3 linked regions of the Macaca mulatta genome follow. The protein of the gene in region 1 purifies or fractionates together with the protein of each later gene. This does not show direct contact. Links are inferred from orthologs where the notes say so. Each region holds a gene or a part of one and is shown in the gene's direction. Other genes may lie near its edges.

Region 1 (9,041 bases):
GCAACAAGAAACTGCCTGACCAAGTAGAAGGATGTGGTAGTTCTGTATGTACTGATATGGAATATAGTCCGAGATAAATTGTTTAGGAAAATGAAATGCAAGTTGCAAAAGAACCCACAGTATGATGTCATTTATGTTGGAAAAAAGGCCACAATGATGTGTGAGTGTGCGCACTGAATAAAAGAAAGTTCTGGAAAGAAACTAACGGCCAGCGGTGTCACAAGGAGGATGGGCAGTTTATTTATATGTGTGTGTGCGCGCAAAGTTCCGTATTGTAAGAATTTGCTACAGCCTGTGTTATTAGCTTTGTAATGAAACAGGTAGAAACTGAAAAAGTTTAATTCCTCCCAATTCAGTTTAGGTTCTGTCTCCGGAAAACTTTCCTGGATTCCCCAGCCCCCACTCCCCGCCCCATCCCACCACCCCCACTGCCCTCTCTGAGTCTCAATTTTCTTTTCTGTAAGGATTTTCATCATTTAATCTTATTTCTTCTGAATGCACTAAATGGTAGTTATCCTAGCACTTAAGAGGATGTCGGAAACACGGTTCATTGTCTGACCCTTCCGACACTGACTAGTATGAGTACATTCTGGGGGGAATTTAGGAGTCAGGGGAAGAGGTGTTCCAAAAAGACACTACTAGAGGGTGCACCTGTCCAGGAGGAGACTCCTTAAGTGAGCAAAGAGCGTCCGACGTTTTTCTCGAGAGGAGCCGAAGTTTTCCGGAAAGAGACGACCAACTGGGAGGTGATCTCCCAAAACCGGTTGCGGGAATCACCGAAGATTTCCGGAGAGCCAAGGAGTAGGGAAGAGCCACTTACCGAGAGTTGCCGAACGTGTACGGAGATAGCCGAAGAGGTGAAAGGCGGGGCCACAGGAACCCTTCCTGCAGGGAACCCAAGGCTTCAGAGAGCCGAAAGGTTGGGAGGCGTAACCACTCACAGGCCGGAAGTGTCCGGGGCGGAAGCGTTCGGGTAACCGAAGAAGTACCAGGATTTCCGAAGCGAGCCGAAGCATCGCGACAGTTTTCAGAGAGAGCGGGTCGGTCGGAGCTGTACCGCCGAGCACAGTCATGGCGGCGGCCAGACCTGCTGCCCCGGACGATGGCGAGGAGCCCGCGCCAGAGGCTGAGGCTCTGGCCGCGGCCCGGGAGCGAAGCAGCCGCTTCTTGAGAGGCCTGGAGCTGGTGAAGCAGGGCGCCGAGGCGCGCGTGTTCCGCGGCCGCTTCCAGGGCCGCGCGGCTGTGATAAAGCACCGCTTCCCCAAGGGCTACCGGCACCCGGCGCTGGAGGCGCGGCTTGGCCGGCGGCGGACGGTGCAGGAAGCGCGGGCTCTCCTCCGCTGCCGCCGCGCGGGTAAGGAGGGCCCGGATCCTGGCGTGGGCGGCCCCGAGGCTCTGGGGCCTGGGCGGGTGAGGGACTCTCCTGCGCTCCGAGCCTCGGTTTGCCTCAGTTTCTCCTTCTGTGCCTTCTGCCGTGGCCAGCCTTTCGGAAATGTTATTCTTTCATCCCTTTCTTCATTCGTTAAGTCTTAAGAAACCACGTGGCCTTGCAGCGTCAAGCGTTTGTCCTGGGGCCGTTCTGCCAGGTTCAAATCTGGACGCTGTCATTATTGGTCAACGTCGAACATCTTTAACTTCCCTGAGCCTTGATTTCCCCATTTGACTCGTTTCAATTTTCGATCATTATCTTTTCATTTATTAGTTTTAAGAAACATGTAATTACAAGTACTTGCCCCACTGGAGCCAGGCTGTCTGGGTTGAAATACTAACTCTGCTGCTTATGTAGCCTTTCAACAAGTTATTTAGCCTCTCACCTTCGGTTTTTTCACCTGTAAAATGGGAGACATAGTAGCAATATCCATGTCATAGGGATGTTGTGACCATTAGAGGAGGTCTGTGTGCAGTGTATTATGTTCGAATGTGTGCCTGGCACATAGTGCTCAGTAAGTGTTGGATTTCATTAAATTGCCTATTTATTGTGCGCCAGCGCCATAAACCTTGTCCTCAGTTGAGAAAGTGACACTCAGAGAGAAGTAACTTGCCCAAGGTTACACGGCTACTAAGTGGCCGGTCCAGGCCCTCAGCTCCGTATGCCTCTGACTCAGAAGTACTGGCTTTTTAATTTTACGCTTCGTGCCTTTCTTTTATTAGTATTTTTTAGGTACTTGTGGGTGCCAGGACATTGTTAAGTGCTGGGAGATCTAGCAAGGGGGGACATTCAGTAGCCAACAAGCAGACACATTGCTGCCCTTTCAGAGACTGAAGATTTCACGAACTTATTTGTGTGTTCATATTTCTGTTTTCAGCCTCTTATGATATGTTTCGTTAAGCAGAGATTGTATTATAGCTGGCTTGTTTATTGCTGTATCCCCATTGATACATCTCTCAGTTTCTAGAAAAGTATACTGAGCCTGGTTGACTTTCAGTAAAAATTCATTTGAGTTTATTGTAGCAGAAACTGAGACTTAGAGAAGTTAATGTAATTTTTTTTTTTTTTTTTGAGACGGAGTCTCGCTCTGTCCCCCAGGCTGTAGTGCAGTGGCCAATCTCGGCTCACTGCAAGCTCCACCTCCAGGGTTCACGCCATTCTCCTGCCTCAGCCTCCAGAATAGCTGGAACTATAGGCGCCTGCCACCACGCCTGGCTAATATTTTGTATTTTTGGTAGAGACGGGGTTTCACCATGTTAGCCAGCATGGTCTCGATCTCCTGACCTCGTGATCCACCTGCCTTGGCCGAGAAGTTAATGTAATTTTAAGATTAGATTAGACAACTAATAAGAAAAGGAGCTGGGATTTGAACCCTGTCCTCTCTGACTGTGAAGATGAACCTCGAAGCCAGCACACTGCTTGGCCTCCTGTTTGTGTCCTCATCAGTAGAAACTGCTCTGACTGGGCTGTGCCTTGCTGTTTGTTTTTGTATTTTGAGACAGTGTCTCACTTTGTCACCCAGGCTGGAGTGCTGCAGTGGCGCAATCTCGGCTTACTGCAACCTCTACCCCCTGAGTTTGAGCTATTCTCCTGCCTCAGCCTCCCGAGTAGCTGGGACTACGGGTGCATACCACCACGCTCTGCTAATTTTTGTATTTTTAGTAGAGATGGGGTTTCACCCTGTTGGCCAGGCTGGTCTCGAACTTCTGACCTCTAGTGATCCGCCTGCCTCGGCCTCCCAAAGTGCTGGGATTACAGGCATGAGCCACCACACCCGGCCTTTGTTTTGTTTGTTTTTTAGAGAGTGAGTGTGACAAATGAAGTTCAGTGAGAAAGGGTGGTTTGGAAGGGAGGAGGAAGCTATGGCCTCCTCAGTTTAGCTGTGGGGTGGTCCCAGGTATAGTCCTGCAGGGGGCAGGAGCAGGGGAATATTCCATTCAGTTGTACCATTCCCTGTAGCATTCCTAAATCATCCTGAAATAAGTAGATATAGATGGAAAAACTGGCTTAATCTTTGAAAATTAAGTTTATCCATTAAAAAAAAATCCAACCCAATAACCACTTATGTCTTGATTTCAGGAATATCTGCCCCAGTTGTCTTTTTTGTGGACTATGCTTCCAACTGCTTATATATGGAAGAAATTGAAGGCTCAGTGACTGTTCGAGATTATATTCAGTCTACTATGGAGACTGAAAAAACTCCCCAAAGTCTCTCCAACTTAGCCAAGACAATTGGGCAGGTTTTGGCTCGAATGCACGATGAAGACCTCATTCATGGTGATCTCACCACCTCCAACATGCTCCTGAAACCCCCCCTGGAACAGCTGAACATTGTCCTCATAGACTTTGGGCTGAGCTTCATTTCGGCACTTCCAGAGGATAAGGGAGTAGACCTCTATGTCCTGGAGAAGGCCTTCCTCAGTACCCATCCCAACACTGAAACTGTATTTGAAGCCTTTTTGAAGAGCTACTCCACCTCCTCCAAAAAGGCCAGGCCAGTGCTAAAAAAATTAGATGAAGTGCGCCTGAGAGGAAGAAAGAGGACCATGGTTGGGTAGGAAAATGTGTATGACAGCCACACACAGTGAAGCTCTTTTTTCAAAGTAAATTTGAAGAAATACTAAAAGTATGAGATGAGATCTAAGTAAAGGTGTTAAGATATTTTTAAGTGGTGTGTGATCGTGCCTGTGGTGTCATTATCATCTGCACTTCACTCTACTCAAGAGCTTACTATGTGTCTGAGTCATGTTCTAGGCAGAACTGGGTATTTAAATCTAGGACAGGCTTCTCCCAGATTGTGACATGTATGTCTCAGTTATATGGGTGTGGCATTGAACTACATAATGAGAATGTTACTCTCTTTTTAGTCCTTGTGAGACAAGGATGAAGTCTCAGTGATACTCACTGAGCTTACTGGCCCTCTAACCCAGTGTTTTTTTTGTTGTGTACATGATATATTTATTTTGAAACCAGTTTAATGGGATACAACCAGCATTTTTAAAAATGAAATAGAATTGCAGCATAGAAAATATCAATATTGTTTTATGAAACTTTCACATGTATATGTAGACAAGGATATGTACTGAGTTTTGATGTCAAATATATTTCTCTTTCAGGGTCATGATCAAAAAATGAAAAATCTGCTTAACTCCAATTTCTCTTTTAAAAAAGCAGACTTACAGCTTTCAGGCAACTGAAATTCATGTTAACATTGTTTTTATTTTTATTGTTTTGTATTTTTGTGGTTACCTTCTAAGACAAGTGATTGATATAAAGTTCCTTTTAAGTTTATACAGGTAAGCAAACTGAGTTGATTTCTGTCACAGGCAATGAGTAGGTAGAGCAAAAATGATGAAGTGACTTGTGAAGACTGAAGTTTGATGAAGTCTGGTTTAAGGTACAGATAAGCTGAGTGTGGATGCAAAGGTACCAGGAGCTAGCTTTTAACCTTGCCCAGCCTCAATTTCTTTTCTTAGAAGAAGCTGTGTGTGGGTGGGAAGGGAACGGATGTATAATAAAATACCTTTCTTCCTTGTAAACTCCAATCAACAAACATATTTTGAGTACCTTTTATGTTCCTTGGCACCCTGTTGGGTGTTGGGTACAATGGTGAGCCAGACAGACATAGCGCCTGTTCTTTTGTAAGAAAATTTATTTTTATAAAAAATTATTAAGTAGTGTGATGTTTTGATACACATTATGAAATGATGACTACAGCCGAGCTAATTAACACCCATCACCTCACATAGTTACTTTCTTGTTTCTTAATATAGACATTTACAGCTATGAATTTCTCTCTGCACACTTTTCATCACACACTCTCAGTTTTGGTATTTTGTGTTTTTGTTTTCATTAATCTCGAAGTATTTTCTAATTTCCCTTGTGATTTCTTTTTTGACCACTTGATTGTTTAGAAATCTGTTAATTTCCACACATTTGTGAATGTTCCAGTTTTTCTTTTGTTACTCATTCCTAGCTTCATTCCGTTGTGTTGAGAGATGATACAGTCAGTGCCTGTTCTTATGAAGCAAACATTCTGTAATAGTAGGACCAGTACCCTGTTTGTTTCGTTCATCACAGTCAGCACTCCCCCAGTGTCCAGCATGGGGTGGATGGCCAGGAATGGTGAAAACTCCCTTCCTGGGTAGTTGTGACTCGTAGAGAGGAAAAACAGTATCATTGCCTGTTTACTGCATGTCAGGCATTGGGCTGGGAATTTTTATATTGGATCTAAAATAACTCTTAAGTTAAGCGTTGTCCCCATTTTATAGATGGAGAAACTGGCACCAAAAGGTGGGAACTTGTCCTAGACGTCACAGGTAGCCAAAGGTACTTTTACTTGGCTCCAAATCTGTTCTTTCCACTGACAAAAGAGATATGGGATATGGTGCGTCTTCACAGTACTATAAGAAGTATTGGCATATAACATTATTTTCAAGGAACTCCAAGGACCACAGGAGCTGACAAGTTTTTCAATTAATATTCCCAACATGAATGAGATGCCTCATTCCTCAGTTTCCTCACATGTACTATAAGGCTAGTACCTACTTTGTGGGGTATGGTTGGCTTATGTGCATTAAATCAACAAAGCCCTAGTTGATATGGTTTGACTGTGTCCCCACCCAAATCTTATCTTGAATTGTTCCTGTAACCCCCACGTGACACGGGAGAGACCTAGTGGGAGGTAATTTAATCCTGGGGGCGGCTACCTCCATGCAGTTCTTGTGATAGTGAGTGAGTTCTCATGAGATCTGATGGTTTTATAAGGGGCTTTTCCCTCTTTTTGGCACTTCCTGCTGCCATGTGAAGAATGATGTGTTTGTTTCCCCATCCGCCATGATTGTAAGTTTCCCGAGGCATCCCCAGCCATGCTCAACTGTGAGTAATTAAACTTCTCCTTTATAAATTACCCGGTCTCGGGTATGTCTTTATTAGCAGCGTGAGTAATACACTAGTACTCACTATGTGCCAGGCACTAGAGATCTAATAGAGGGGAACATGAAGTTTACTTTCCTGGGGAACGTAAAATAAGGCAGTTTCAGACAGTGATGAGTGAAGAGGTGAAGGAAAACCAGAAACACGGGAGATGAAGGGAGTATATCCCAGGCAGGCTGTGGCGTGCGAAGTTGGTGAGGAAGGAACATCCCCGACAGCAAGGCCAGTGTGGCTGGCATCAGTGAGCAAGGAGGAGGAGCAGAACATGCGATGGGAGAGGCAGGGCCAGATCCTGCAGGGCCCTGTTACAAGGTTGGGTTTTGTTCTTAATGGGACTCAGGATTTTTAACAGGGTGACACCTGATTGTTTTGAAAGAGTTGCATTGGTTGCTGGCAGAAAACCATAGACGGCAAGAGTGGAAGCAAGAAACCTGGAAGTGAGAAGGCGACCAAAACCAGCTGGGCCAGTGAAAACAGTAGCCAGGGTGGAAGCCGTGGCGAGCATGCTCCAACTGCTTGGCACAGGACCTGGCAGCCACCGAGGCAGGGAACGCAGTGGAGAAGCAGCCTTGTCTGGGGGAACACCCGAGGTTCGTTGTCTCATGGTCATGGAGATCAAGGACATGGACCCACAAAGAGTGAGTTGAAGAGCAGAAATTTAATAGTTGAAAGAAATTAAACTATTACAAGAGGGGTCCTGGAAAAATGGGTTGCTGGATCTGCGGTGATCCAGCAGATCTGCAGGGGGTTTTATAGATGAGCTGGTGAGGAGGTACTGTCTAATCTACATAGGGTGTGCAAAACTGGTTGGACCCAGGTGTGCCACTGGCATAGGGTATGAATCTCTGGGCACCCCCACCCCAATCTTTTATTATGCAGGCGAGTTCTCTGCCTGAGCTGTGCCATGTTGCCCACTTCTTTATTACTGTACACGTGCTAAAAGGGAAGATGGAGCCTCTGTGTCGGACATGCGTGGCCCCCAAGTAGCCCTTTTCTATTGGCACAGCTGCCAGTATTCCCCTGTGCAAGCTTCCAGCTTCCTTATCTATGTTTGAAGCTGGATTTTTCAGGCTGCTCTTTGTTAGAAAAGAAATGATTTCTGGGACTGCTTTTTTGTTAGAAGGGAAATTCAGCTGATGACTCTTTTGCCCTCAATATCTGCCTAAATAATTTCTTTCTACCTCCAGTCTCAGTGCCAGTGATAATTGGGGTAGCCACAGCTGTCAGGAAGCAGTAATGATCTTTTCTAGTATCCAGAGGGAGAGTGGCAGATATTGGAGACTGGAGAAACGTCACAAATGCCCCCAGGAGGAGAATCGCCCATCTGCACACTTAGCCCGTGGCCCACAGTGGGAAATAAAGGGTTAACAAACGTTCCTAGGTAAACAGTGGATTCCTTCCCTAGTTCCGTGTCACAAAGGGCTAAGGAACCCTCTGCACTTTCAGATCCCTTGATGTCCACGGGGGAGCTGCAGGTGCTTTGCAGTGCTGAGCCAAAAGCACTAGCAGTTTTGTGTGAATCCCCACCTAAACCCAACCAGATGAGGATTATAATCTCCATTTTATGGTGGAGGAAACAGCAATAGGAAATATCATGTCCTAGGGTCACAGTAAGTGACAGCTGGGATTCAAACCCATGCTTTTAACAGCAGCAGCTGACTTTATTATAGAGTTGCATTCTTTGCATGCATTAACCCATTTTACAGAAAAAGCAAATGAGACAGAGAAATTAAGTCCTGCCCCATGCCACTTAGCGAATGGCAGCGCCAGGGAAATGTGATAGGACACTGAGATGCGACCAACACTTGACACAGGCCCACATTCCTGGAACACTGAAAAGTGCTTTTGTGGCCAGTCCATGGGGCCAAGAGAGGTAGTTCCAGAGTAGAGTTGCTTTAAAGCTGGGGGAGTGCTCCAAACAAGCTGTGTTCTTATTGTTGGATGAGCTGAACCGACCATGCCCACAACACGTGCTACCTTAGGGGTTGGGAACACCTACATTAGTGAAGACATGCAGGGCATAATCTCTGATTTAACTGCAAGAGTTCACCATGTTCCTGACCCTGGTTCCAATAAAACTTTATTTACAAATCAGTCAGCCTGTGGGCCATAGTTTGCCAATTTGATTTTTAAAACCATCCCATTAAGATATTTGTCTTGATTATTGAGTTTTTGGGTGCCCCCTTAAATTTGTGCCTCGCTTGCTTCACCCTAGTTCTAACCCAGTTGTCACTGACTGCCAGAACCCTGATGGAGGAGTCCATGTTCTTAAAAGGGCCCGCACCTGCTATGGTTTGAATGTGTTCCCCAAATCTCATGTGCTGGAAACTGCCCAACTTAGCAGTAGTGAAAGATGGGGCTTTTAAGAGGTGATTGGATCCTGAGGCCTCTGCCCTCATGAATGGATTAATCCACATGTGGATTAATACATAATGGGTTATTATGAGAGCGGGACTGGTGGCTTTGTAAGAGGAATAGAGACCTGAGCTAACATGCCCAGCACCCTCATCATATGATGCCGTGTGCCGCCTAAGGTCTCTGTAGAGTCCCCACCTTCAAGAAGGCTATGCCACCACCAGATGTGCCCCCTTGACCTTGTATTCCTCCATAACAATAAGGAGTAAACTCCTTTTCTTTATAAATTACCCAGTTTCAAGTATTCTGTTAAAAGCAACAG
Region 2 (10,823 bases), on another chromosome or scaffold:
GCATAATGTGGGGAAGGGCATAAGTGGGCAACTGGAAAGTCAAAAAAAGATGAGCGTATATAGAGAATGTAAAGGTGAGAGAGCCTAGTGTTTATTTGGAAGGAGAAAAGACTTTGAAGCATATGCCTCAGGAATGTTACAGCTGTCTTTCTCATTTCTCAATAAAAATATTGGGATGAAATGATGTCATTTAGGAGAATAGACAGCCTTGGGGACTGGGTGTGTTATCCTGAGGTCGGAGGGGAATTGGGGACCTGAAGTTTAAGCAGTGCTCTTTCTTTCTCAAGGATTCTTGAGGGTATACAGTTGGGGGACAGAGTATTTTAAGTGTACAAAGTCGAGTGACTTGATTGGCAGGGAGTGGAGGATGTGAAACAGGGACTGTGTGAAGATTTTTAGGATTAAAAACTTTTCAAACAAAGTCTTTTTCTTTTGTATAGCAAAAGAATCATCAACCTGGGGCCTGTGCATCCCGGACCTCTGAGTCCAGAACCACAACCCATGGGTGTCAGGGTTATCTGTGGACATTGCAAGAATACCTTTCTGGTGAGGAAGAGGTATTGGGAAGGGGAGGGGAGAGGAGACTAGGAGTCATTTCGAGTATATTTCTTGGAGTAATGGTAATGACCCCTGAAAGTCTGTCCTATGGGAACATGTTCTGCATCCCCACCCCAAGGTTCTCATTGAGGGGGACCCTGCTTGTGCTATTATTTTCGTTTTCTTTCTCCATAGTGGACAGAGTTCACAGACCGCACCTTGGCACGTTGTCCTCACTGCAGGAAAGTGTAAGTGATTAGGGATTGAGCTGGTCATTGATGTATGGAGTAAAAACTCTATGGCTGTAGAAAGCATCCATTTCTATTTGCCTCCCCACAGGTCATCTATTGGGCGCAGATACCCACGTAAGAGATGTATCTGCTGCTTCTTGCTTGGCTTGCTTTTGGCAGTCACTGCCACTGGCCTTGCTGTGAGTACCCTTGCCCCAGTCTCTTTCATTCTGCAGCCTCATCTCCATAGGCTAAGATTTGGGAAATTGCTACCCTTAAAAAAAGTGGAAGAAACTTGGGGGAGTAGTTTGTTTTAAGATATGGATGAGCTAAAGTGTAAGGTGGCTGATCAAACAGACTTTATTACTACTAAGAGTGCAAAATAGCCATCCTTTGTCTGTAGGATGAGGATAGGACAGTGAAGTGCTTAATTTAAGAGTTGCTATTTGCAAACCTGGCTCAGTTGTCAGATATGAAGAAAAACTGAGATACAGTGTGGGATGGGATGAGTATGTTACTGCCTAAGGGAAGGGAGCTGAACAGCTCTGCCTTTAAGAAGGTCCCTGAGGGTGGCTATATGTGGATAAGAAACAAGGACTGAAGCATGAGTTATTACTGTTCTTAGGACTAATAGGAGGTAGTGGAGACCAACATTAACCCCATCTTTCTTTTCTTCTCCCTCCTTACCTTCATCAGTTTGGCACATGGAAGCATGCACGGCGATATGGAGGCATCTATGCAGCCTGGGCATTTGTCATCCTGTTGGCTGTGCTGTGTTTGGGCCGGGCCCTTTATTGGGCCTGTATGAAGGTCAGCCACCCTGTCCAGAACTTCTCCTGAGCCTGATGACCCACAGACTGTGCCTGGCCCCTCCCTGGTGGGGACAGTGACACTACGAAGGGAGCTGGGGTAGTTAAAGGCTCCCGGGGCTTCTATAAGGAAGCCAAGCAGCTGCCTTCCTTTTCCCTGGGGAGAGGTAGGAAGGAACCAGGCCCTCACTTAGGTTTGGAGGGGCAGATAAGAGCACTGCTGACCATCTGCTTTCCTCCAAGGGTTGCTGTGTCTAGGGTGAAGTAGGCAAAACGTTGCCCTTAAAACTGGGTCCTAAAGACGGTTCCAGCCTTGTCCTTCCTGTGTGCTCCCTGAGAGCCATTCCTGTCCCTTACACATTCCAGGGCAGGGTGGGGGTGGGTAGCCCTGGGGGTTCCCCTCCCTCTTGTGCACCATTAGGACTTTGCTGCTGCTATTGCACTTCACCAGAGGTTGGCTCTGGCCTCAGTACCCTCAGTCTCCTCTCCCCACATTGTTTCCTGTGGGGGTGGGGTCAGCCGCTGCTCTGTACAGAACCACAGGAACTGATGTGTATATAACTATTTAATGTGGGATATGTTCCCCTATTCCTGTATTTCCCTTAATTCCTCCTTCCAACCTTTTTTACCCCCCCCCCCCTCCCAGTTGCAGTATTTAACTGGGCTGGGTAGAGTTGCTCAGTCTTTGGGGGAGATTAGGGACTTATCCTGTGCTTGTAAATAAATAAGGTCATGACTCTACCCTTTTTCAGTTGTTAACTTGTATGCACGAAAATACGAGGAAGGGAATGTGTAGCCCCACGAAGGGGTAAGACACAAAGACAGCAAGGCTGAAACTATGGCTCTTTATTTTTGTGTGGATAATTCAAACAAAGTCATTAGTAGTCTTTGTTCAGTTTTTCTTAAAAAAGAAAAAACCCTCAAATAAAAACTCTTGGGCTTAAAAGAACTCTAAATCTGTCACAGGAGCCTGGTTGTAGGATTCTTATTTTTATAGATGAGAAATACAATGCAGATTTCTCTGAAGAGTGTTTAAAGAAGGAATGGTAGTTGAGGGGGCTTATTTCCCAGGCTCAAAGTGATTTAGGGGTGGTGTCACAGTGCTAGGTATAGGGTGATAGGACAGTGATCACTGCCGAGGGCCTTGGAACGGATCTTGCTATCACACAATGCAGGTAACAGAGAGTGGGACAACAAAAAGTAATCAAGGCGCCAACCAACATTCTTGGATCGAGCATTCATCATGTAAGTCCAAAAGGTGTAGGCATAGGGTGTGTTGGGGTAGAGGTGCCTAAAGCTGTCAGCCAGTGGCACAGCCTGCAGTAATTCCCCAAAGCCTTGGCGCTCTTGTGGCGTGAAGCCAGCATTCTTTTTGTTACCCTTGGGGTTGCGAAGGTCAATTTCTTCATGTGCCACATTGAGGTCTCCACACAGCACAAGGGGCTTTCGGGAAGCCAAGCCCTTCAGGAACTTGCGAAAGGCTTCATCCCAGCGCTGCCGGTACTCCAGTCGTACCAGACCCCGGCCTGCATTAGGTACATACGTTGTTACCAGCACAAACGAGTCAAATTCAGCCACAATCACCCGGCCTTCCTGATCATGCTCCTCCTCGCCTACAGAAACGAAACAGAATTAGCATAAAAAACTGTAAGAAAAGGAAAAGCAATCAAGAGGTGGGGGAGAGATGGAGAATTAGCAATTGGTCTTGAAGAGTTCAGGCATTAGGCATCAATAGGGTCTCACCTATGCCATAAGAAACTTTGAGTGGGCAATGGCGGGAAAGTAGGCCCACGCCACTGTATCCTTCCTTGTCCGAAGGAGCGGACCAGTATTGATGAGAGAGTCCAGGCAGCTCTTGAAGTTCAGCTGGTAGTTTGTTCTCTGAACATTTGGTCTCTTGAAGGCACAGTATATCTGGGGCTTCTTCCTTTACCCACTATAAGTAAAAGAAAGGTGGAAAATGTATTATCAATTCAGCAGAACATTTATTGAATATATGCCAAGTCATAAATATGCACAGGTTAAACAGTCAAGCAGTTCGAGGTTAAATAATATTTAAACAATTCGAAGCTAGATAAATGAAAACAGAGGTAAAGTCTTACGTGCTATACTATGAATGTGTTTTTTCTATAGGCAAGCTAAGATTTTTAAGCTATAATTAATGAAATGGAGGACATGCTGAAGATAAAATGGAGGAAGTATAGTAAAAGGTTTTTGCAACATTCTGGGAAGAGGAGAGAACATTAAAAAAGAAAATGGCAATGGAAGTGAAGGAGCAGACATTTAGGAAATACAACTGGCAAGACTGGGGAAGCCCCACCGAAAACTGCAGGCAGGAGAAAAAACAGCCTGAAGGCTATACGGAGAAAAGGGATGACTAAACCCTAAGATCATTCAATACTAAAGAATGTGTCTTCCCCTCAAACACCACTCACATCTAATCCTTTCTTCTTAATCCAGGCTCGAAGCCCATCCACGTTCCAAGAGCAGATCTTGAGTGTGGCAGGTTTGCCACTGGGTGAGGTTTTCTGATCGGGGGGGTCCTCATACAGGGCTGGGCCCTCTCCTGCTGCCTCCTTGTCATTTTTCTTTGCGGGCGTCTTACTCTTCTTGGGCTCTGGCTCTATAAAATGAGTAATATATATTGATAAAAAGTGGGTGGTTTCCAACCGCGATCCGGCGTTAGCTATGGACCCAACGAAAGCCTGCGGTTACTGCGTCTTCACAAACCCCTGCAAAAATGAGTTGGCCGGTACTTACCGTTCATCAAGGGAATTACAAACAACCCCGCCGTAGCTTCTAGGAAGAGGGGCTCATTTCATTCTTACCTGTCTTGAGCTCATCCCCGTCTTCTGCCACCGCTCCCTTTTTCCCACGCTTCGGCATTCCCGTAACGAACGCTCTTCGGCACCTGTACCGCGTCGCCCACCAAAGCAGTATTTTTACCGCGTTGCCTACAGACGCAAAGAAATCATGAAACCAGCTAAGCCTGGGGAGAAGACTCCTCTCAAGAGCGTCCCCGCACCAGGTCCCGCCTTTCAAACCATGTTATCTCTAAATCCTTTCCCCGCCTCCGTGCATCATAGGCCCTTCAGCCCCTCACCCACGTAACTAGATCATTTCATAGTGCCTTGTACCCTACTCGCGAGATCTGCCCTCCAGCCAATTGAGGATCTTAATTAAGGGTCCTGACTCAAGCTTGCCCTTCAGACTGCCAGCGAAGCCCCTCTTATGAGCAAAAGAGCAACCCCGTATCTGCACCGGTCCGATGGCAGCCTAGCTCCTCCTAACCCGAGCACAAAGAAGGATGCACGCTGAGCCCCCCACGTGGGTAGCGGACCTGGTCACGTGATCAGAGGCACGCGTCACATGGCCGAAGAATGCGCGTGATTGGTCTGTCTGACACCACGTGACGAAGTCGCTTGGCCTTGCCTCTCTCAACTAATTCTCTAGGAGACCTAGGGCCCCAACCCTCGTTCGGGCTGTTTATCGTTGTGCCCGACGCACGGCACATTGTTTGACTCTGACTTAAGAGTCTAACGCTGTGCAAAGGGAAAAAAAAGTGGAGAAGGTTGGGCTGGACCACGGGAAAGATATAGGAAAACGGATAGGATTGTAAAGCACAGAGTCGGCTCGGCGTCCCTGGCAGTTAGGAAGACAGGTCCTTGGAGGGGCCTTGGCGGGTCTCCGCTCGCGGGAGTTCTGCGCTGTCTTTCCCACTGTTATCTGCAGGCTAGCCCGCTTCTTCTGCGCTCCGGAAAGCTGCGGCCCAGCGCAGACTAGTGAGGACTTCCACAGCTCCTGACGTTGCTAGGAGTCCTGTCGGCGTTTTCTCCCAGGCTCCGCCATGCCGGCGGTGCTGGGTTTTGAAGGCAGCGCCAATAAGATTGGCGTGGGTGTGGTGCGGGATGGCAAGGTGCTGGCGAACCCGCGGCGGACTTATGTCACGCCTCCGGGCACAGGTGGGTGAGTAGGGGAGTTAAGAGTTTTCGGCGCACTTCCCCGCAGAAAATCAGCCTTCCATCTTCCTAAATACTAGTGAGGTGCAGCTTTTGATCTGAGTCTTATTGAAATTATGTGATATTATTAACGTCACAAGGCTGATGACTAGAAGAGTTACAAGCACTTGGACGTGGATCTGATGAGTTCGTTTACCGTTTATTGAGCTCATTTTATGTGCTAAGCATTCAGAAATAGATGTTATGATACTGCTGTGGAGTCAGACATATAAATAGATGTTTATACTACAGCATGATAAACAGTGTAATAGAGATGGACTCGAAATATTCTGTTTAAAAAACGCTTAGCAGGAGTATATATTCCAGTTGCCCTGAATATACACTCCTTTTTTAAAAATTTTTATTTTTTGAAATATTCTAGGATGAGTAGAGAGATGAGAGTGGAAAGACTCCCAGCTTACATGTCAGAGAACTGGCTGGCTGTGCTGTATTCACATTAAATATTTATGTTTTGGACATTTGGTCTTTATTTTTTATTTTAATTTGTTTTTGAGACAGTCTTGCTCTGTTGCCCAGGCTGGAATGCAATGGCACGGTTTCGGCTTACTGCAAGCTCTGCCTCCCAGATTCAAGAGATTCTTCTACCCCAGCCTCCCGAGTAGCTAGGACTACAGACAGGTGTGTGCTACCACACCCAGCTAATTTTTGTATTTTTAGTAGAGGCGGGGCTTCACCATGTTGGCCAAGCTGGTCTCGAACTCCTGACCTCACATGATCCGCCCACCCCAGCCTCCCAAAGTGTGAAAATTACAGGCATGAGCCACCGCCCGGGCCTAGTCTTTGTTTTTAAAATGGGAATAATACCTGTATCATTAGGTGTTGAAGATTAGATGAAAGTACCAAACACGTCTGGGTGTGGTGGCTCACGCCTGTAATCCCAGCACTTAGGGAGGCCCAGGCGGGGTGGATCACCTGAGGTCGGAGTTCAAGAACAGCCTGACCAATATGGAGAAACCCTGTCTCCACTAAAAAATATAAAAAATTAACCGGGCGTGGTGGCACATGCCTGTTAACCCAGCTACTCGGGAGGCTGAGGTTGTGGTGAGCCGAGATCATGCCATTGCACTCCAGCCTGGGCAACAAGAGTGAAACTCCGTCTCAAAAAAATAAAAAAGAAAAAAGAAAGTACAAAACACATTACAACTTTTAATAAGCCATTGTATCTTGCCTACTCTCCCCTCAAACACTTGCATACATAGGAGAGGGGCAACTGATTTCCATGTATCTGAAAAGCCTCCCTGAACAGGTGATGTGACAGATTACTCATTAGAAATAGGTATGTATGTTTAGCATTCACTCCTCTAGGCACTTGGGCACTGGGAATACAAAGATAAAATACTTATTGCTTTGAGATACTCATGATTAAGCTGAGCAAACCACAGAAAATTATTATGTTGTAATTGTTAAATAAATGACATCATCATGCACAGAGTTCTGTAGGGTCACAGAGAAAGAAGGTCACCAGGCTGGGCGCGATGGCTCAGGCCTGTAATCCCAGCACTTTGGAAGGCCAGGGCAGACGGATCACGAGGTCAGGAGTTTGAGACCAGCCTGGCCAATATGGTGAAACCCCGTCTCTACTAAAAATACAAAAATTAGCTGGGTGTGGTGGCGTCGCCTGTAGTCCCAGCTGTTTGGGAGGCTAAGGCAGAAGAATTGCTTGAACTCAGGAGGCGGAGGTTGCAGTGAGCCGAGATCGTGCCACTGCAGTCCAGCCTGGGCATCAGAACAAGACTCCGTCTCAAAAGAAAGAAAAAAAGGCGGGGCGCGGTGGCTCACACCTGTAATTCCAGCACTTTGGGAGGCCGAGGCGGGTGGATCATGAGGTCAGGAGATCGAGACCACAATGAAACCCTGTCTCTTCTGAAAGTACAAAAAATTAGCCGGGTGCAGTGGTGGGCACCTGTAGTCCCAGCTACTTGGGAGGCTGAGGCAGGAGAATGGCATGAACCCAGGAGGTGGAGCTTGCAGTGAGCCGAGATCGCACCAGGCCACTCTAGCCTGGGTGACAGAGCTAGACTCCGTCTCAAAAAAAAAAAAAAAAAAAAAAAAAAGATCACCAAAGGGTATGGGTAGATACCACTTGCATTGAGACATGAAGGCTGAGTAGGGTAAGAGGAAGAGAATTTCTGAAAGTTGAACAGCCTATATAGAAGCTGGAAAGAGTGTATCCGAAAATGTGGAAGATAGGATGCTTGGGGAAAGTGAAAGGACTCTTACTACATCACTAAACCTCCTGTTGCTTTCTTTAACTTCCTACCTACTTTTGCTACCAAAAATCCCTGTGATCTCTGACCTGTGTTCATTTTCTAGGATTCCTTCCAGGTGATACAGCCAGGCATCACCGAGCTGTTATCCTAGACCTGCTGCAGGAGGCACTAACAGAGTCTGGATTAACCTCCCAGGATATCGATTGCATTGCATACACCAAGGGTATGGCTGGGAGAGTGGTCAACGATGGAGGAATATACCTGCAACCTGGCTAGGTCAAAATAGCCAACACCTTACCTCTGCCACCACCACTACCCCTACCCCACCTCACATCCCTTGCTTCCCCCACCTATTTTTTTTCCAATCTCTAGCATTGTAACTTCCATTTCTATCTCCCTAGGCCCTGGCATGGGTGCCCCACTGGTTTCTGTGGCTGTTGTGGCCCGTACTGTGGCCCAACTGTGGAATAAGCCATTGGTGGGTGTGAACCACTGTATAGGCCACATCGAGATGGGCCGCCTCATCACTGGAGCCACCAGCCCAACCGTGTTGTATGTCAGTGGAGGAAATACACAGGTATTTAGAGTGCTCTACCCATTCCATCTCAATTTCCGAGGCACTGAACCAATATCTTCTTCGTTCTATCTGAGTCATGGGAATGTCAGGAACAAAGCTGAACTCATCTGAACCTAAAATACTGTAGACCAGAAAACTCCCAACCGAGTTTGTAACATTGCAAATTTTGGCAGCATGTTCAGAACATTAGATGACTTATCATTATCAGACTTTATATCTGATCATAAAGATTAGGAATTTCTACTTCAGGAAAGGAATGAATGGTAAGGATTGAAGCCTTCAAAATAATGAATATCTGAAAGATCTTGCATTATTTTGAAGCTTATTTTTTCTGTAAATCTTAGCAACTGAAACTAACGGTTACTGGGCATGGCAACTCACACCTGTAATTCCAGCACTTTGGGAGGTCAAGGTGGGTGGATCATCTGAGGTCAGGAGTTTGAGACCAGCCTGGCCAACATGGCAAAACCCCATTTCTACTAGAAATAACAAAAATTAATTTGGCGTGGTAGCAGGTGCCTGTAATCCCAGCAAGTTGGGAGGCTGGGCAGGAGAATTGCTTGAACCAGGAAGTGGAGGTTGCGGTGAGCCGAGATCACACCATTGCACTCCAGCCTGGGCAATGAGAGCAAAACTCTGTCTCAAAAAAAAAAAAAAAATAAGGAACTAAGGGACGCTACCTGATTTATTATTTTAGGGCAACTACATGTTTTGTTTTTGTATTACTGGGGATGATTATATAGACTTTGTTGTTCTAAAAGTTCAGAAATATAAATAACTATAAAAATACTTTATAAATTATAGAAGGTATTTTATTTTATCTTATTTATTTATTTGCAACGGAGTTTTGCTCTTATTGTACAGGTTGAAGTGCAATGGTGCGACTTTGGCTCACTGCAACCTCTGCCTCACAGGTTCAAACTATTCTGCCTCAGCCTCCCGAGTAGCTGGGATTACAGGCACCTGCCACCACACATGACTGATTTTTTGTGTTTTTAGTAGAAACGGGGTTTCACCCTGTTGGTCAGGCTGGTTTTGAACTCCTGACCTCAGGTAATCCACCTGCCTCGGCCTCCCTAAATGCTGGGATTACAGGCGTGGGCCACTGTGCCCAGCCAGAAGATATTTTAAATTTATAAGTGAAGCTAAAGTTGTTTGGGATACCTTATATGACCTTTTGAAGGTTGGGATTGGATTCCTTTCCAACAGAACACTTAATTATCATTAGAAATGGTTCAGCATTGTCCCCAGCCCATGAAAGGGTTGTGTCTAGAAGATGAGGCACGTGTTTCCCATGAAAACGATGCGGAAACTTCAGCAGGTAGAGGGCAAGTAGTTGGTTGAGGCCTGAAGGATGACATACAAGGTTAGAGACTTGGGTTGTGGAAAGTATAATGGAGACTACAAGAGGTGATAAAAAGGAGCAATGGCGGCTTTGTCTTCCTCTTTTAATGTTTGCTTAGGTGTAAGAAACAGGGAGGGTAATTAGGTGGAGAGGAGTGGATAGCAGGAGCAGAAAGGCAGGGTTTTTCCTTCTTCTTTGTTACTATCTTTTTGACAGCAGATTAAGATGTGTATCAGAAAGGGAAGAAATCCCTGACAGCACTGGGAAGGGAAAGGGACTTCTTAAGGTTCCTAGGAAACCCTTGGTGTTCTAAGTCTGCAGCATATGTGTCAGTAGGTGACAGATAATCTCTGTGCTAAAAGTTGGTCACATATGAAGAATGGCCTTAATATGTAAAATAGTTGGGCGTGGTAGTGGGCGCCTGTAGTCCCAGCTACTCGGGAGGCTGAGGCAGGAGAATGGCACGAACCCGGGAGGCAGAGGTTGCAGTGAGCTGAGATCACGCCATTGCACTCCAGCCTGGGCAACAGAGCGAGACTCCGTCTCAAAAAAAAGAAAAATGGTCTTAAGTGGACTGCTATTGCTGACTTGGCTGGGCCATTAATCTGCCTCCATATGAGATTTTTGAGTTCTTCAACTCTGCTTCTTGGTTCTAAATACCAGTGCCCAGCTGGATACAATGATTCACACCTATAATCCCAGCACTTTGAGAGGCCGAGGCAGGTAGATTGCTTGAGACCAGGGGTTTGAGACCAGGCTGGGCAATATAGTGAGACCCGATCTCTACAAAAATATAAAAATTAGCCACACATGGTAGGCCAGCTACTCAGGAAGCTGAGGTGGGAGGATCCTTTGAGCCTAGGAGGTCGAGTCTACAGTGAGCTATGATCACACCACTCCACTCCAGCCTGGGAGACAGAGCGAGACCCTGTCTCAGAACAACAAATACCTGTCAGAACAACAAAAACACTGTCACTATGTCATAATTTAGAAGGATTCATGTTCTCTGCCTCCCAGCAGAAAAGCCTGTTCCCTACTGTCAAGACTGCATTTAAGGAATATATTAGGAACTTCTAAGCTGGAAAACAAATGTATT
Region 3 (11,150 bases), on another chromosome or scaffold:
GGGGTCTCACTACGATGCCCAGGCTGGTCTGGGTTCAAGCCATTCTCCCACGTAGGCCTCCCAAAGTGTTGGGATTACACGTGTGAGTCACCACGCCCGGCCTTATTTATTGGTTTTTCTTTTTCTTTTCTTTTTTTTTTTTTTTTGAGATGGAGTCTCGCTCTGTCTCCCAGGCTGGAGTGCGGTGGCACAATCTTGGGTAACAGAAACCTCCGCCTCCTGGGTTCAAGCGATTCTCATGCTTCAGCCTCCCGAGTAGCTAGGATTACAGGCACACACCACCATGCCCAGATAATTTTTTGTATTTTTAGTGGCGGGAGCATTTCACCATGATGGTCAAGCTGGTTTCGAACTCCTAACCTCAAGTGATCTGCCCCCCTCGGCCTCCCAAAATGCTAGGATTACAGGTGTGAGCCACTGTGCCAGTCTATTTATTGTTTTCGTTTTGAGATGGAGTCTTGCTCTGTTGCCAGGCTGGAGTGCAGTGGTGCAATCTCAGCTCACTGCAACCTCTACCTCCTGGGTTCAAGCAATTCTCCTGCCTCAGCCTCCCAAGTAGCTGACCGAGTAGGTGACTGGGTGCCACCATGCCCAGCTAATTTTTGTATTTTTAGTAGAGACAGGGTTTCACCGTGTTGGCCAGGATGGTCTCGATCTCCTGACCCTGTTTATTGTTTTTAAGTCATATCCTTTGCTTTAAAAGCCTCAGAGAATAAGTACAACCAATATAATTAAACCTGAATTACTTTCAAGTACATCTCTTCCCCAAACCTTTCATATTAATTACCATCTATCTTGTAGGCTCTCAACAGTTTATATAGTTTTTCCAACAAAGTAAAAAATGAAATGGCCATCTGCAAAGAATAAGCATAAGAACTTCTTTTTTGGAAAATACAGGTATTTGTTTTTTACCCCCTCTGGCAAATATTAACCCCAGCTGCTCTAACTGCATTTATAGTTACAGTGTTTACTTACAGGAAGTAATTTGCATTCCAAAGTTTTAAACTTGCTGTTTCCACAATCACAACGAAAATTTCTGAAAAAAGGAGGAAATAACAATTTTATTTTTCTTTTTACAAAATCCAATTTAAAATTTCTTCAAGCATTCAAGCACATAAGACTTCACAATTCTGGAAATTAATATGTACAGAAGCAAATATTTATATCACATACACACAAACACACACAAGTAAAATGATGGTAGAGAAAGATGAGTAGTTTGAGTTTGTACCATATTATGTTTTTAAAGGCTCTGGAAACTCCAATTATATAAAATAATTACATGAAATTTCACTACTGTACAACAGCTTTGCATGAAAAAACATGATAAGGAAAAAGTGTAGATGGGACAGAATCTACACTTCAAAAGCATTTAGTAACAATCTCTGACTATGTTTACCTTTTTGTGTATAGCTCAAATAGTTTGTGACTTCCATGACATTCATAACTGCAAGCTAAACAAATTCCTGCTGGTTCTTCTCCCTCTGGGGTGCAGGTACTACAGGCATATAGTGCTTGCCTCTTTACTGAGCCCTAAAAGCCCCCAAAATGGAAAAGAGAATTAATGTAATAGCATGGCTTACCTAATACCCACACTAGGAACTGAAAAATAATTAAAATCAGATTATCTGTGGTCAAGATCTTTCTGTAAAAACCATTAAGACTAAAAAGTTTACACAGCAGAGCATCAACCAAAACACAGTTGTGTTGCATGTTTCATTTTTATACTAGTGCTTTTCATGCAAGCACTTTTTTCTTTCTTCCTAATTTATTTATTTTTTGCAGAGACGAGGTCTTGCTATGTTGCCCAGGCTTGTCTCAAACTCCTGGGCTCAAGCAGTTCTCTGCCTTGGCCTTCCAAAGTTCTGGGATTACAAGCATTAGCCATGACACAAGTTAGCACTCCTTTCTTAAAGTGATAGGATGTCTGAATTTGTCAGTCGGCTGTGAATAAATGAATCTGTTTAATCATTTTAACAGGTGAAAACACAGGAGCATATGTATAGGTTTATGTAAGTAATATCACACTTTCATCCTGGAAAATGTTTGTAAATCCACCAAAGAGAGAATCAACACATGCAAAGAATCTCTTTGATTTTTAGGAGATGCATGCTGAAGTATTTAGAGGTATAGTGTCATCATGTCTGCAACTTATTTTTAAATAGTTCAAAATTTTAAAACAACAAATTTTAAGTAGAAAAGGAGATGTGACAAAATGTTAAAAAGTGAATATGTAGGCTGGGTGCAGTGCTCACGCCTGTAATCCCAGCCCTTTGGGAGGCCAAGGTGGGCAGATCACCTCAGGTCACGAGTTCAAGACCAGCCTGGTCAGCGTGGTGAAACCCCATCTCTAAAAAACCCCATCTACTAAAAATATAAAAATTAGCTGGCCGTGGTGGCGGGCATCTGTAATCCCAGCTACTCGGGAGGCTGAGACAGGAGAATCGCTTGAACCCGGGAGGTGGAGGTTGCGGTGAGCCAAGATCATGACATTGCACTCCAGCCTGGGTGGCAAGAGTGAAATTCCATCTCAAAAAAAAAAAAAAAAGTGAATATGTACAATAGGTATAGTTACCTTCCTCTAGGAAGGAGGAAGAATAGACAAGGAGGCTTCCGGGATGCCAGTAAAATTCTATTTCTTTCTTTTCTCTTTTTTTTAAAGTTCTTTTCCAATAAGCCTTTTGCACTCCTAATGTTCTATTTGTTGATCTGGGTGGTGGGAACATGCACACTTTCCTTTCAAGCTGTGTACATGATTTGTGCAAATTTCCATATTTTTTTTTTACCACAATAAAAAGAAAACATTAAGGGAATCCATTTTATAAAGGTAACTACACTTCAAAAATAGTTTACATACAGACTTAGAACTTTTTTTTTTTTTTTAAGGAAAGCAGGCGAAAAATTGTTTTAGTGGTGACCAAAGGTTTTAAAATACCTGGGGCTATGTCTGGATACCAGGTTTATTCAACAATCTAGCACTTTGCAGTGTAAACTAAACTTGGTCAACAACGAGAACTGGTATTATGACCTCAGTTCATACCACATAATGAATGCAAGTCTCTCCCCTCATCTCCCCAGTGTTCCAATCCACCCCTCTGCCTCGGTAACCCTTCTTCCTGCCAGTTCTTATCCTTTGTCAGTCTTCTTCCTACCCATCCTTTTCCATTTTTGTGCCTCGAAGTATAGGGTGAGTCACTAAACACATCACACCCCCTCAAACACTTGCTCACTCACAACGTCTTCCAAATGCCAAATAGATCCTTTTCTCCTCTCTCCCCTCCCTTGCCAGAGCCACTTGCTGTTCTGTTTCCGGTCTATTTCCAGGGGAGGAGGGCAGACTGCAGACAGACATGGGTACTTGCTCCATTTTGCCAAAAAAAGAAAGAAAAAGTACTAGCTAGCACTTGTCAAACTAAATTGCAGAGGAACTAGCTGTCAAGGAGCTCACCGCAAATCCCTATGGATTTGAAAATCTCTTTAACCTGACGTCTCCCATTTGGTCCCTAATAAATAAATAAATAATCTTAGGATGGGAAAAGCAGGGACAAAGATGTCTGGATCTGAGAGGTCGCGGGCTGGTTTCGTGAAAAGCAGTGGTGCACCAGGACGAGGCTGGAGAGGACGGACAGAGCAGCTGCTCCAGGGTCCTTCCTGGCTGGCCGGACAGAGTTAGAGAGAGGGGAGATGGGGGCCCCTGCTGGACACAGGCTGAAGGGGGCCCAGGAGGTTGGGGATAAAAGGGAAGGGTGGGCTTGGGGTAAGGAAGCGGCAGACTAACGGCGGCCCCGGACCACCACTGGGGAGACGACTGCGGCAGGCGGGAATAGGGACAGCCGGGCCGGGAAGGGGAGGTTCGGCGGGAGCCGCGGGAGACAAGGCCCGGGCCGCGTGCCCACCTGCGAGTAGGAGCACTTCTCGGAGTCGCTGCCGCCCAGGACAGCACACGCCTCATTCTCCAGCTCCTCGTCCTCCTCGAGGACGTCGACCAACGATACCACGGGCTCCAGCTCCGACTGCCGCCCAGCGGAGCCCTCGGCTCCGGCCATCCTCAACTGTCACCCGAACCGCGGCTCGGCCCCGGCGGAGGCGGGAAAAGCGGCCACGAGGGGCGTAGCCGGAGGAGGCGGGGCCCGAGTGCCAGGAACCAATGACAAGGAAAAAAAGCGAAGGAAGGGGGAGGAGCGACTTCCGACAAACGGATGTCACTCCTCTCCCTTCTGCCGCCTGCGCCGGCCACGGGCTGATTTCCGCCTCCGGGTGGCGCTTCCCGGTGTCGTGTTCTGGAAGCTTAGTGGTCACCATGGAGCTGCTGGGAGAGTATGTCGGGCAGGAAGGGAAGCCGCAGAAGCTGCGGGTGTCCTGTGAGGCGCCGGGTGACGGCGACCCTTTCCAGGGCCTATTGTCTGGCGTGGCCCAGATGAAGGAGCTGGTAACGGAATTATTCGGCCCCCTGGTACAGGCGGAAGTGCAGCACCGGGTGGCGGCGGCTCCAGACGAGGCCCTGGACGGTGAGCTCTGAGACGGTGCTGCAGCGACAGGAGGACGGGGCGGGAGCCAGGGGAAATTGGCTTGGGGAGCCCGTGTAGAGTGGCAGACTTGGACAAAGTGAGCCTCGAGGAAAGAAGAATTGCATCTAAAAATTTTTGGCGGGCCAGGCGAAGTGGGGCTCACTCCTGTAATCCCAACACTTTGGGAGGGCGAGGCAGGAGGATCACTTGAGGTCAGGAGTTCCAGAACAGCCAGGGCAACATATCGAGACCCCGTTTCCATTGTTATTTCAAAGATAATTTAAAAAATAAAAATTGTTGGCATTTATCACTATATTTGGGCTGCTTCTACTCAAACATTTCCACGACTCATCGCTATTTCATTTATTTCACTAAAAAACTTGCCGAATGCCTACTACTATTTGCCAAACCCTGAGCTGAGCCCTGGAGGAAGAATGAGGTCAATGCGACTCAGTTCCTGCCCTTGTGAAACACAAGGGGATTATACAGGCAGACACTCTTATTAAAAGTGAAAGTGGCCAGGCTGGTAGCTCACGCCTGTAATCCCAGCACTTTGGGAGGCTGAGGCGAGCGGATCACGAGGTCAGGAGTTCGAGACCAGCCTGGCCAATATGGTGAAACCCTGTCTCTACTAAAAATACAAAAATTAGCTGGGAGTGGTGGCGGGCACCTGTAATCCCAGCTACTGGGGAGGCTGAGGCAGAAGAATCGCTTGACCCCGGGAGGCGGAAGTTGCAGTGAGCCGAGATCGCGCCACTGCACTCCAGCCTGGACTACAGAGCGAGACTCCGTCTCAAAAAAAAAAAAAAAAAAAAAAAAAAAAGAACGTGGTTCTATGGCCCTCTGTAAGTGTTGCAAACCCAGAGACCCTCGGAAGGCTTCAAAGAGGATAAGACTTTTGAGCTGGAGTATTGAATAAAAAGGAGTTTTATCAGGTGTGAAACTACAGACATATTTGGAAGAGTACAATCTATCGCAGAGTAGGAACAGGTTCCAAGGAGTGGGACAGACTTAATTTTAACATGTATTAACTCCTAGAGACTCCCTTACCTTTCCAGTTTTGTAGGTGCAGTTTGAAAGTAGAAACGTGAAGTTTAACTGCATTATTTTTTAAAAATTGCCTCGAATGCAGAAATAGGCAGGTACTTTTTTTTTTTTTTGAAATGGAGTCTAGCTCTGTTGCCCAGGCTGGAGTGCAGTGGCACAATCTCGGCTCACTGCAACCTCTGCTTCCCGGGTTCAAGTGATTCTCCTGTCTCAGCCTCCCAAGTAGCTGAGATTACAGGCGCCCGCCACCACTCCCAGCTAGTTTTTGTATTTTCAGTAGAGACGGGGTTTCACTGTGTTGGCTGGGCTGGTCTCGAACTCCTAACCTCGTGATCCACCTGCCTTGGCCTCCCAAAGTGCTGGAATTACAAGCCTGAGCTGCTGCACCTGGCCAGGCAGGTACATTTTAACTGTCCTGAGCTGAAAAATCCAAGAATAGATATTAGAGTTAGGATTTACAATTCTCTAAGAAGAGCTTAAACTGTACTTTCCTTCCATCTTGGGAATTACATCTTGATAATATGGATGTTGGCTATGATCAAAAAGAACAATAACAAGTGTTGGCTGGAATGTGGAGAAATTGGAGATCTTGTACATTGTTGGTGGAAATGTAAAACAGTGTAACCACTGGGAAAAAGAGTTTGGTAGCTCCTCAAAAAGTTGACATGAAGTTACCACATGACCCAGCAGTTCCACTGGTAGTCCTCGCAAGAGAACTGGAAAGTATGTTCACACAAAAACTTACACATGAATGTTCATAGCAGCAGCATTTATAGTGACTAAAATGTGGAAACAACAATTGACCGGGCTTGGTGTTGCACCTTTAGGAGGTGGGAGGATCACATGAACCCGAGTTTGAAGCTGCAGTGGGCTGATTGTTCCACTGCACTCCAGCCTGGAGGACAGAGTGAGGCCCCATCGCTTCATCTCTAAAAATAATGATAATTTTAAAAAATAGAAATAATGCAAATATCCATCAACTGATGAGTGCATTAACAAAATGTGGTGTATCCATACAATGGAATATTATTAGCAATAAAAGGTAATGAAGTATTAATACGTGCTACAACATGAATGAACCTTGAAAACATTATGCTACAGTGAGAGCCAGACACAGAAGGGTACATGTTATATGATTTTGTTTATATGAATGTACAGAATAGGCAAATCCATAGAGAGAGATTAGTGAGCTGGGTGCAGTGGTGGGCACCTGTAGTCCCAGCTACTCTAGAGGCTGACACAGGAGGATCACTTGAACCTGGGAGTTTGAGTCTAGCCTGGGCAACATAGCAAGACCCTCTCACTAATAAAAATTAAGGGGGAACAAAAGTAGATTAGTGGTTGCCGAAGGCTGAGGGGAATGGAAAGTGACTGCTAATGGGCATAATTCATTTCTCTTTGGAGTGATGAAAGTGTTCTAGGATTAGAGAGTGGTGATGGTTGCACAATCTAGTGAATATACTAAAAACCACTAAGCGGTACACTTTTAAAAGTGGATTTTGGCCGGCTACAGTGGTTCATGCCTGTAATCCCAGCAGTTTGGGAGGCCAAGGCATGCAGATCACGAGGTCGGGAGATCGAGACCATCTTGGCCAACATGGTGAAACCCTGTCTCTACTAAAATACAAAAAATTAGCCGGGCATGGTAGCGCGTGCCTGTAATCCCAGCTACTTGGGAGGCTGAGACAGGAATCACTTGAACCCTGGAGGCAGAGGTTGCAGTAAGCTGAGATCGCGCCACTACACTCCAGCCTGGTAACAGAGAAAGACTCCATCTCAAAAAAAAAAAAGAGACTGGATTTTATGATGAATGAGTTAATATTTCCAAAGAGGAAAGTGATAGAAAATAAAGATTTTAAACACTGAAATTCTCAAAATCATTTTAATCTAAAATGTGCATGGTTTTATTAATCCCTAAAGTGAAATGGTCTCGTTATCAACCACTTTAGCTATATATATTTCTTTCAACCATAGAACGTATTGTCATACAACAAATATTTATTTTAAAAGGTGATGATGAAGATGATGCCGAAGATGAAAATAACATTGATAACAGAACTAACTTCGATGGACCATCTGCAAAACGGCCAAAACCACCATCTTAACAATAGCCTTTATGACATTTAAAAGATGGCTGTTGTATCCCAGTTGTCACACTAGGACATTTAAGGAAGACTTATGCTGTAATTTGGAAAAGCATTTGTGTTGTTTTCCTGGGACAATCTTGTCAAAGAGAAAACTGGTTTTTCTGTTTCTAGCAAAGACAGTGAAGGCTTAGAAATAAAACCTGTTTTCTTGAGAAATAAATTTCAGACCGTGGGAGGAAAATAGAACACTTCATAATATATAAAATCCTCTTAAGTTGGCAACTGAATTTTTATCATTGTTTTCTATTTTTAAAATAACCATTGGTTTGTGTGATGTCTACATCTTTTAACTTCTGCTTCTGTTATAAACAGTACGTCATGGTTCATAGGCAGTAACATTTCAGAGAACTGACATGAACAAGTGGTGAAAAGTGGGCATTAAATGTAAAAATAACAGTTCTTCATAAATAGAAGGAAAATGAGGAAATAGAAATACTGAAGAGAGAGTCCTTGAAAGAGACCCAAGGAAACCCTGAATTCATACCCATGTCAAAGATACAGATATCCTGAGATGATGCCGCTTGATGAATGTGCATTAATCTGATTTATCATGTACCTTAAGAGAGCCAGATGGGGTAGGGTATGCTTTTGTGCTGTGATATAGTATGTATACAGGTACAAATGGAAGGCCTTAAGTAAATAATCTGCGTTGATTACAATTTGGATATTTCCTCTCCTCCTGTAGCCATGCTTTGATTTAGCTTTAAAAAGATTATTGAATCCTTTAAAAATATATATTCCTAAAGTATGTATGTGTGTGTTTCTTTTCTGCTTGTCAGTGGGACTAAGGCATGTTTATTCACTATGCATCCTTCCTGATGTAGATAGCTTCAATGCAAAGAAATCAAGTAGCATGTACCTAGTAAAATACAAATAGTCATGGGATTTTAGAGTTGGAAGTAACTTTACAAACTATGTGATTTATTTCACAGATAAATCTCAGGATAAGTATTTGCCCTCAGATTACAGAGTACTGGGTTACATAAATAGCCTTTAGGTTTTCTTTAAGCTGATAAAAGGTGAGAGAAATCATTAATCAACTTTTTTTTTCTTTTTTTTTTTTTTGAGACAGAGTTTCACTCTTGTTGCCCAGGCTGGAGTGTATTGGTGCGATCTTGCTCACTGCAACCTCTGCCTCCCGGGTTCAAGCAATTCTTCTGCCTCAGCCTCCCAAGTAGCTGAAATTACAGGCATGTGCATTTTAGACAGGGTTTCACTCTGTCACTAAGGCTGCAGTGCAGTGGCACGATCTTGGCTCACTGTCACTGCAACCTCCGCATCCCAGGCTCAGGTGATCCTCCCACCTCAACCTCTCAAATAGCTGGGACCACAGGCATGCACCAGCACATCCAGCTAATTTTTTTGTATTCTTTGTAGAGATGGTTTCACCACATTGCCCAGGCTGGTCTAGAGCTCCTGGACTCAAGGGATCTGCCCACCTCAGCTTCCCAAAGTGCTGGGATTACAGGCATGAGCCCACCATGCCTGGCCTAATCAACTTTTTTTTTTTTTTTTTTTTTTTAAAGACTAAGTCTGGCTCTGTCGCCCAGGCTGGAGTGCAGTGGCCGGATCTCAGCTCACTGCAAGCTCCGCCTCCCGGGTTTACGCCATTCTCCTGCCTCAGCCTCCCGAGTAGCTGGGACTACAGGCGCCCGCCACCTCGCCCGGCTAGTTTTTTGTATTTTTTAGTAGAGACGGGGTTTCACGGGGTTAACCGGGATGGTCTCGATCTCCTGACCTCGTGATCCGCCCGTCTCGGCCTCCCAAAGTGCTGGGATTACAGGCTTGAGCCACCGCGCCCGGCCTAATCAACTTTTATGAATCACTTTTATTATGAAATAATTTAATTTTCATATCATTGAAAATCTATATACCTTTTCATATCATTGAAACACTGTTTTACTTTGGAACAGCAGCCTTCCACTAAGTACTCTTGGGCAATCAAACAATGCCAACTAGAAAAAGTTATAGATCGTGAGAAATTATCTGTTTAGTTTATGCTGATGTTTCTAATATTTAGCTGTTATTTATTATAGTACTGTTATCTCTATACAATCATTAAAGAAAAAACTGGTTGGGTGCAGTGACTGATACTTACAATCCCAGCACTTTGGGAGGCCAAGGCGGGCGGATCACCTGAGGTCGAGAGTTTGAGACCAGCCTGACCAACATGGAGAAACCCCATCTCTACTAAAAATACAAAACTAGCCTGGTGTGGTGGCGCATGCCTGTAATCCCAGCTACTTGGGAGGCTGAGGCAGGAGAATAGCTTGAACCTGGGAGGCAGAAGTTGCAGTGAGCCGATCGTGCCATTGCATTCCAGCCTGGGCAACAAGAACGAAACTCCATCTCAAAAAAGAAAAAAACTTACCTGTATATACGGAAAATAGATCACATTGTTAAATTGATATCTGAACCTTTTCTCTGAACATTTTATGTTTCCTTTGGAAAATGTGGGTATAAAGAAGAAATTTCAAGATAATATTTGTGTTTGTGGCCCAGTGTTTTTAGATTCTGATTTATAAGATTGGTCTTTTAATTAATTTTAATACTGATTTCAATTCTAATACTGTCTTCTTTGTAAGAAAGCCACATGTTTGACAAAGATGGGCCAGTATAGAAGAAATGCTTTGCCAGGTTTTCTAATCTGCTGCTGCGCTTGGGTGTCACTGTCACTCAGGCTGGAGTACAGTGGCACACTCAGCTCACTGGAATTCCTGGGCTCAGGTGATCCTCCCACCACAGCCTCCCAAGCAGCCAAGCACTAGGTGTGTGCCACCACGCCAGTCTAATTTATTTTTTATTTTAGTTCTTTTTTTTTTTTTTTTTTTGAGACGGAATTTCGCTCTTGTTGCCCAGGCTGGAGTGCAATGGTGCAATCTCAGCTCACCACAACTTCCACCTCCCGGGTTCAAGTGATTCTCCTGCCTCAGCCTCGCGAGTAACTGGGACTACCGGCATGCACCACCACGTTAGGCTAATTTAGTATTTTTAGTAGAGACGGGGTTTCTCCACGTTGGTTAGGCTGATGTCAAACTCCCGACCTCAGATAATCCACCCGCCTCGGCCTCCCAAAGTGCTGGGATTACAGACACCGCACCCGGCCTTTTTTTTTTGAGATGGAGTTTGACTCTTTTTGCCCGGGCTGGAGTGAAATGGCACGGTCTCGGCTCACTGTAACCTCCACCTCCCAGGTTCAAGTGATTCTGCTGCCTCAGCCTCCCAAGTAGCTGAGATTACAGGTGCCTGCCACCATGCCTGGCTAATTTTTGTATTTTTAGTAGAGACAGGGTTTCACCATGTTGGCCAGGCTGGTCTCGAACTCCTGACCTTAGGTGATCCACCCACCTTGGTCTCCCAAAGTGCTGGGATTACAGGTGTGAGCCACCGTGCCCAGCTACCAGGCTAATTTTTAAATTTTTTGTCGAGATGGGGGCCTTGCTTTGTA

What was found.
Region 2: the proteins of TP53RK (region 1) and OSGEP purify together in Homo sapiens (affinity purification with mass spectrometry; 5 studies listed by BioGRID and IntAct, counting the BioPlex papers as one, with this or other methods). This does not show direct contact. The link is inferred for Macaca mulatta from reciprocal best matches to the Homo sapiens genes TP53RK and OSGEP.
Region 3: the proteins of TP53RK (region 1) and GON7 purify together in Homo sapiens (affinity purification with mass spectrometry; 5 studies listed by BioGRID and IntAct, counting the BioPlex papers as one, with this or other methods). This does not show direct contact. The link is inferred for Macaca mulatta from reciprocal best matches to the Homo sapiens genes TP53RK and GON7.

The regions. Positions count from the first base shown.
Region 1 is NC_133415.1:99,486,175-99,495,215, reverse strand, and holds TP53RK (EKC/KEOPS complex subunit TP53RK), read left to right. Parts: upstream 1-1,009; 5' UTR 1,010-1,071; coding exon 1,072-1,354; intron 1,355-3,508; coding exon 3,509-3,987; 3' UTR 3,988-6,338; downstream 6,339-9,041.
Region 2 is NC_133412.1:93,250,211-93,261,033, reverse strand, and holds the start of OSGEP (tRNA N6-adenosine threonylcarbamoyltransferase), read left to right. Parts: upstream 1-5,013; 5' UTR 5,014-5,423; coding exon 5,424-5,538; intron 5,539-7,908; coding exon 7,909-8,028; intron 8,029-8,206; coding exon 8,207-8,382; intron 8,383-10,823. Other genes in the region: PIP4P1 (type 1 phosphatidylinositol 4,5-bisphosphate 4-phosphatase), read left to right, coding at 441-546, 733-785, 877-967, 1,464-1,607; APEX1 (DNA-(apurinic or apyrimidinic site) endonuclease), read right to left, coding at 2,672-3,189, 3,320-3,512, 4,012-4,199, 4,405-4,462. UniProt on the Homo sapiens protein: Component of the EKC/KEOPS complex that is required for the formation of a threonylcarbamoyl group on adenosine at position 37 (t(6)A37) in tRNAs that read codons beginning with adenine.
Region 3 is NC_133412.1:166,454,789-166,465,938, reverse strand, and holds GON7 (EKC/KEOPS complex subunit GON7), read left to right. Parts: upstream 1-4,280; 5' UTR 4,281-4,300; coding exon 4,301-4,508; intron 4,509-7,565; coding exon 7,566-7,660; 3' UTR 7,661-8,448; downstream 8,449-11,150. Other genes in the region: putative E3 ubiquitin-protein ligase UBR7, read right to left, coding at 976-1,036, 1,400-1,533, 3,897-4,046. UniProt on the Homo sapiens protein: Component of the EKC/KEOPS complex that is required for the formation of a threonylcarbamoyl group on adenosine at position 37 (t(6)A37) in tRNAs that read codons beginning with adenine.